Linked DNA regions of Bombyx mori. The protein of the gene in region 1 purifies or fractionates together with the protein of each later gene. This does not show direct contact. Links are inferred from orthologs where the notes say so. Each region holds a gene or a part of one and is shown in the gene's direction. Other genes may lie near its edges.

Region 1 (3,932 bases):
AACGAGGTCGATGGTACTAAATATACAACACCCAGATATGTTATGGCCAACGTCACCGATATGGCGAACTGGGTACCTGTCAGGTATGGTACGTGAATTCAACGCACGATAATCGCCGCAGGGTCGCCAGGTGCCGTCGCGCTTAGGGACCATATGAAGTGGAGAAGACCACGAACTTTTCGAAGGTCTGGCTGTCCCGCACTGTACCATATCATCAAAAACCTTTTTGGCCTCTTGAAGTTTTTGAGGTGCCAGACGTCTAGGACGACAAGAGACTGGGGCGCCCTCAGTGGTTAGAATATAATGAACTGTGTTATGCTTCGGCTCACGAATAAGTCCTGGTGGCTTCGTAATGGACGGAAATTCCGCAAGAAGTGCACTAAATTGGGATGACGGCGCGCAGACAACTTTGACGCTGGTCTGGTCTAAAACAGCGACGGCAGCAACGTATGACAACCCGGTAATGCTATCGACGAGTCTCTTACTGGCACAATCTGGCAACAACCGATAATGCGCCAGAAAATCGGAGCCGATGATGGCGGTGTTGACGTCAGCGATAATAAATCGCCATTGAAATGTGCGGCGTAACCCCAAATTAAGCGCCATTTCTATGTGACCAAAAGTGCGTATCTCACTACCATTGGCAGCCGCTAACGTATAGTTTGAACGTACCGGCTTATTTGCTAACCACTGGTATGGGTAACAGGAGAGGTCGGAGCCTGTGTCTATTAAAAAACGGCGCTTGGTTGCGCTTTCGGTGACAAATAATCGGCGACTCTCCTTTAAGCAGTCAGACGTCGCCATCATTGACTGCTTTTGTCGTTTTCCGAAGATGGCGGCGGCGTCCAGGTACATGGTTGAATACACTTAACAGCTTTAGTATTAAATTTCCTATGGTAAAAGCACATTTGAAGCTTACCAGGCGTTTGTGAGCGTCGTCGCTGGTTTGAGAAATCCCGGGTCCTATTTCTACCGCGCTCTGCAGTAAGCACAGCAAGCTGACGCGTGACCTCATCCAGACGCCGTGTGATATCTTCTAACGAAGGGGTTGAGACGGCAGACGTACTTGCTGAGAAAACAGCAGATGAATGAGGTGCGACCATACCAGGCGAAACTTCCAAAATTTTGTCCGCTAGCTCAGCGACTTTGTCCAGCGAGAGTTCTGATTGGGCGGCCAAAATTGCTTGGAGATGTTGTGGGAGGCGACGCATCCATAGCTGGCGAAGCAAATTTTCATCAGTGAGGGTTTTTCCTGCCAATGATCTAAGATAACGTAAAAACTGCGAAGGACGGCGGTCACCCAACTCAACATCACTGACAAGTTGCCTGACACGTTGCTCATTAAATTGGAAAAATCTTAGTAAATAACCACCATTTTACTGAGATTATATTTCATCCCATATCATCTCATTTCATTTAATTTCATCTCAGTTGATTAATGTCTCAAATTAATCATCTTCGTTTCATTTCATTTCATCTCACTCCATATTATCATTTTGCATAAAAATAATAATATAAATTAAAATAAGAAATGACTTAAAGGTCTTAGTTACCAGGTCACACTACCCTGAAAAAAAACACGATAACATAACCTACAAAATAAAGTTTAAAAAATAATTGAACGAAAATAATATATTTATTAGTCTTTATTCTTTAATAACCATAACGTCCATAACCAATCTCATGAATTATTAGAATCACCGCGAATTTTAAAAACGGAATCGACTATGATAATATAACATAGTAAAAAGCAAATATTTTTAACAAAACAATTCAACATATTGAACAATTCATTATTTTTTAATGTGTTTTTGTTAGAAGTTAAATAATGCCCGCTGCCGATCTACTCTCGAGTCAAGGACTACGTCTTGACGGGCGGAGACCCAATGAATTACGTCGGATAAGATGTAAACTTGGTGTATTCACCCAGCCTGATGGAAGTGCGTATCTCGAACAAGGAAACACGAAAGTGCTTGCAGCCGTGTATGGACCCCATCAGGTATATGATACAAACGATTTACAAATACTGATTAGTTTACCGTGGCAAAACGTCTGTAAATCTGCCTGAGTAAATAATCATCACTATCCCGCTACTTCTGCTACAAAATTGCACTATTTCTGCTACAAAAGTGTAATGCCTTCTGGCTTGAAGAATAAGACAGCTATTTTACAATATTGAAGTATCGACCCATGTGCCAAGGTCGCATTCACGTCTTGATGTGTTTCAGCTTTAGTAACCAAATTCTTACCAAGTAGCTGGTAAAAAATATGTATTTACACATTTTAGGTACTTCATTTTCGGACACGTTCTTCATAAATGAAAAACCTTCATTATAATTTAAAATGTTTTTCAGGCTTCAAAATCGAAGATGTCGACAGAAGCTGTAGTTGTCAACTGCCAATACAGTATGGCTACATTCTCAACAGGTACCCATTGAGAGTTCAACATATTTTCAAAAGCCTCTTCAAATAAATGAGATTATATATAGAGAAAAAAATCTGTATGAGCTTAATCGCACATTAAAAATACACAAGTTAATAACATCCGTGGATTTCCAATCAATCTTAGAATTAATTTCAGTGTGTACATTTATTTGTTCCTGCACATCATCAGACCTACTGAACCAGATACGTTTACTACGTACGTGTAGTTTTTTTTATGGTGGACAAAAATTTGTTTGTAACAGAATAAAGGTTTTGTTTTATTTTAATCAAAAGATGCAAAAAGTTTTCATCATTTAAAGTTTTATGGAATTTACTTAGTGCCATTATATGTTAGAAAATATACAGCAAATAATAACATGAAAATGAAAGAAACTCTACTATGGGAAATTAAATAGGATGCATTTTATCCTAGTGTTAAGCACAGTCAGCGGCAGGCAATAGCTCTGCCCCTGACATTGCTGAAGTCAATGGGCGACATTACTGTGTGGTTACCCACTCACCATCAAGTAGGCCGTATGCTCGTCTGCCTACAAGAGAATAAAAAAAATTCTCCACTCACATAATATAATATGTAATTTAGGTAAGCATATAGCTGGCAGATAGGCAGTTATATTATAAATGTTATACATTTGAAAACAATACAATTATGTATGTGATAAGCCTGCAGAAGTAGGTACTGTTATATGTTTACAATGAAGCAATCATGCTTTGCAGTTTCATAATACATTTGAGATTTTGACTGTCTCTCAAAATCGGTGGCATTATACACACTGCGATGTCTATGTATTCTACCCATTTAAAAGTTAAAACTAGGATATTCCCTCGTCAGTACAAAAAGAAACTAAGATAGACCCAAAGATATGAATATTCTTATCTACACAACTTATAAGGGTTATTATATATATATGCCTATTAGGCTACATAACTTATTATTTTTTTTTTTTTTATTGCTTAGATGTGTGGACGAGCTCACAGCCCACCTGATGTTAAGTGGTTACTGGAGCCCATAGACATCTACAACGTAAATGCGCCACACACCTTGAGATACAGTTTTAAGGTCTCAGTATAGTCACAACGGCTGCACCACCCTTCAAACCGAAACGCATTACTGCTTCACGGCAGAAATAGGCGGGGCGGTGGTACCTACCCGTGCGGACTCACAAGAGGTCCTACCACCAGTAATTACGCAAATTATAATTTTGCGGGTTTTTTTTATTACACGATGTTATTCCTTCACCGTGGAAGTCAATCGTGAACATTTGTTGATTACGTATTTCATTAGAAAAATTGGTACCCGCCTGCGGGATTCGAACACCGGTGCATCGCTTCAACACGAATGCACCGGACGTCTTATCCGTTAGGCCACGACGACTTCTAAACGACTTATTATCGAACATTTCGCATCTAGGTGAACGAAAGAACCGACCTCGCGGGGACCGCAAGTCACAAGAAATGTCAATGCATCTCCGACAAGCTCTAACTGCTGC
Region 2 (3,920 bases), on another chromosome or scaffold:
GGGTGATGCTAATCTTTACTGAAACAATAGAGAAACGCAACTCTGTTAAGCACTGTTAAGCAGTATTTAGCATTTGAAGCATTTTAAATATTTTCACATTCATAATGGAAAAAAAATTGAGAGAAAGGATTACTGGTGTCCTGGTGGCATTTCCAGTTTCACAAGCGAGCACCGGCTCAGCCAGGAGCGACGGTAATTGCTAACAGCCTCCTGAGGGCCTCCGGAGAAAACTAACAACTCAAAGGCAACTGCTTCACGAATGAACCTCATTTACATTAATTTATATTTACTTGGCAATTCATAGATAAAATTATGGAGACCAGAGGATCTGTCGAGATATTATTTTATGACCGCGTCCGGAGAATTGGGATTTCGAGCTTCCTCAAATTGGTGATATTGACATGACTTCAATGCGTTCTTTTTTTTCCTACCTATGCTGGTACCTTAGAACGTTATTCTTGCGTAACTTGACGAGTAAGTGAGCTCGCGGGGCTCTAACCTGTGACGTTGCTAACACGAGCCCTAGCAAGAGCCGTGCTTCGCAGAATCTACCACCAGATCGGAAACGCGACCCACTGTGAAGATTCGGCAAGAAACTCAGTGGGCTGTGTCTGAGGGTTAATTTACTCGTCGAGCCCTTCGTCGCAAGCGACGGGTTCGACGAGAACGGTGACCGGTGCTTGAAGTACCTAAAAGCACCGTTAGTGGATCGGGAGGATCCGAGATGACGTGTTTTGGGCGATGTCGACTGCTTTCCATTCTTTCCGCAGGATCGGGAATGTAGTTACCGGCGGCCACGATGAGAGGGTTCTCGTGTCGTGCCGCTTTATCGAAGTGGTGCATCGACGCCGACTGCAGATACTTACTGATGGACTCTAAGTCCAGGTCGTCATGGAGGTCGACGTTCCTGCCGAACCACGGGGCTCCGACGGCTATCCTGCAAAAACGGGATTGAATGATTTGGAATGATTTTAAGTGAGTGCGGGCCGCGTGAGCGAACACTACACTTGCATAGGTCATGACGGGGCGTATGCAAGTTTTGTAGAGTGTCACCTTATTTCTAAGGAACATTTTACTTCGCCTGCATATCATCGGGTAGAATAATCACACAAAAGATTCCACTGGATTCGGTGTGATATTTTCGCCTTTTCTGTATCGAAAAAGTAAAACGACTAATGTCAAAAAAGCTGCTGTCATTGCTGTCACTAACCCAAAACGAAACGTGTTATTTATTTTGCGAGTTTTTCCGAAAAACATCCATTTATTGCAAATATGGTTTCTGTAACATAGGAACACTTTTGATATTATTAATGAACAATGGCTCGACATCGTAACATTCGGAACAGAAGTTACTCTGATGACTATGATGACGATGATTTTTATGGACATTCAGTGGAAGAGGATAGTTGTTTATCTCCAAGTGATGCGTCGCAATGGATCTACGACCGATCACGAAACCAACAGGTGATATCTAACCTTCTCGATAGACACAGCAATATCCAGGAGGAAGCCGAAGATGAAGTTCAAGATGTTCAAGTACCGGGCCCACAACGAAGAGAGTCTACCGACCTCTGCAGCCTCAAGCTTGACGCGGAAGGTGAAACCAGGCTCATGTCTTGCTTAGATGAACTTCGGAATATTTTAGGTGATACAGTATCGGAAAATACAATGATTCAGAGTGTGCTTAAACATAATTTTGATTACAACAAAGCTTTAGACGATATACTTAATAGTGATAAGAGTAAAAATAAAGATTCATCCACATCTAAACCAGTTAAGCCTGTTATTACTAATACAGTGAAAACCACAACAGCATTAGTAGCTCCTAAAGTTATAGCTACAAGTGTAGATCAGAAGAGTGCTGTAATCAAGGGTTTTAAAGTGGACCAAGAGCCAAAGCCTAATAGTCGCCCTCAGACACCTAGAGGGCAGTCTCCTCACCCAGAAAAAAGCAAGACTGAACAAAATGATGACATGAAAAATTTAAAAGTAAAAGAGAACAAAATTGATGCAAAAAAACAATATGCCAATGAGAGAGGTTCTGACAAAGATCATTTGTACATTGTCGTGATAGGTCATGTTGATGCAGGAAAATCTACATTAATGGGCAGATTATTATGTGAGCTCGGAGAAGTCAGTCAAAAAACTTTGCACAAATATGAACAGGAGAGTAAAAAGATTGGAAAGCAAAGCTTTATGTATGCCTGGGTGCTTGATGAAACAGGAGAGGAAAGAGTCCGAGGAATCACTATGGATATTGGGCGTGCCCAGATTGAAACAAAGACAAAGAGGGTTATAATATTAGATGCACCGGGGCATGCTGATTTTATCCCTAATATGATAACTGGTGCTGGTCAAGCTGATGTTGCTATGTTGGTAGTTGATGCAACTAGGGGAGAGTTTGAATCCGGATTTGATTTCGGTGGTCAAACAAGAGAACATGCATTACTAGTGAGGTCACTTGGTGTAAGTCAGCTGGCTGTTGCCATTAACAAACTGGATACAGCCAACTGGTCTCAAGACAGATTTAATGAAATCACCAATAAACTTAAGGTTTTTTTGAAACAAGCAGGATTCAAAGATACAGATGTCACCTATGTGCCTTGTTCAGGACTCATTGGTGAGAATCTTGTGAAACCAGCAAGCGAACCTGAATTAACTAAATGGTACAAAGGACCCTGTCTTTTAGATGTGATTGACAAATTCAATGTTCCAGAGAGGCCTGTGTCTAAGCCATTACGTATTTCAATCAATGATGTGTTCAAAGGTACCGGTTCTGGATTTTGTGTTTCGGGACGCATTGAAAACGGAGTTCTAAAGAAGGGCGATAAAGTATTGGTTTGTCCAACAAAAGAAATGGCTGAAGTTAGAAGTTTAAGTATAAATGATCTTACTAATAATGTAGCATTTGCTGGAGACCAAGTCACATTGACTTTGTCTGGGGTGGACATGCAGAATGTGTCAGTTGGATACATACTCAGCGATCCTATTGAGCAGGTTTCTGTTACAACACGTTTCGAGGCCCGAATAGTAGTTTTCAATGTTAAAGTACCAATAACAAAAGGCTTTCCGGTGCTTGTTCACTATCAATCATTGGTAGAATCTGCTAATATTGTCAAGCTTAAGGCATTACTCAGCAAAAGTACCGGTGAGCTAATTAAAAAGAAACCTCGTTGCTTAGGAAATAATTCTGTGGCAGTTGTTGAAATTGAGACCAGCAGGCCCATATGCATCGAGAGATATAAAGATGTTAAGGAGCTTGGTCGTGTTATGTTACGCGTCGCAGGTGTCACCATAGCAGCAGGCCTTGTCACTGATATTATCAGCACATGATTGATCTGATAAAGATTATTATAATCTAAATATACAACTAAAAGATTTGTTACTAATTGAAGATGTGATAAATTAAAAATATGGTTATGTTTGGACATTTTAGCTTTGCACGCGTGAATAGTCTACAATAATGTACTGTTTTGAAGTATAATTTATTATTTATAATGTAATGCTAATAAATTGTTTCATGTTACAAATGTTTTTTATTTCTGAATTTGAAAACTATGAGAATATGCTAAACAGAAGATTCTATCGACGTCCTTAAATTGCAGTTTATCTGATTCTCAAATCATTCAGGACACCAGCCAGTATTCTCAATTTTGTGCTACTTTTATTATTAAAATTGACCTAAGCATCCTACAAGTCGTATACGAAATGGACATTCTCATTCTCGCTCACGACTCGGTCGTGCGCGGACGTGCTTTCCGATCCGTGGCCCGCTTGCGAGCTGCGTCTCTGAACTCACAGTTGTGCTCGACAGTGTAGTGACCGTGAATACATCGTGCGTACAATTCGGTAGTGCGGACGTGCCGATCCGTTGGTCGCTTGCGATCTGCGTATCGAGGTCCATTTTTGTGCGCTAAAGT

Evidence for each region.
Region 2: the proteins of exosome complex component RRP41 (region 1) and protein HBS1 purify together in Homo sapiens (affinity purification with mass spectrometry; 3 studies listed by BioGRID and IntAct, with this or other methods). This does not show direct contact. The link is inferred for Bombyx mori from reciprocal best matches to the Homo sapiens genes EXOSC4 and HBS1L.

The regions. Positions count from the first base shown.
Region 1 is NC_085134.1:3,235,879-3,239,810, reverse strand, and holds the start of exosome complex component RRP41, read left to right. Parts: upstream 1-1,408; 5' UTR 1,409-1,828; coding exon 1,829-1,999; intron 2,000-2,354; coding exon 2,355-2,427; intron 2,428-3,853; coding exon 3,854-3,932. UniProt on the Homo sapiens protein: Non-catalytic component of the RNA exosome complex which has 3'->5' exoribonuclease activity and participates in a multitude of cellular RNA processing and degradation events.
Region 2 is NC_085121.1:12,890,628-12,894,547, forward strand, and holds protein HBS1, read left to right. Parts: upstream 1-1,003; 5' UTR 1,004-1,317; coding exon 1,318-3,333; 3' UTR 3,334-3,530; downstream 3,531-3,920. UniProt on the Homo sapiens protein: GTPase component of the Pelota-HBS1L complex, a complex that recognizes stalled ribosomes and triggers the No-Go Decay (NGD) pathway.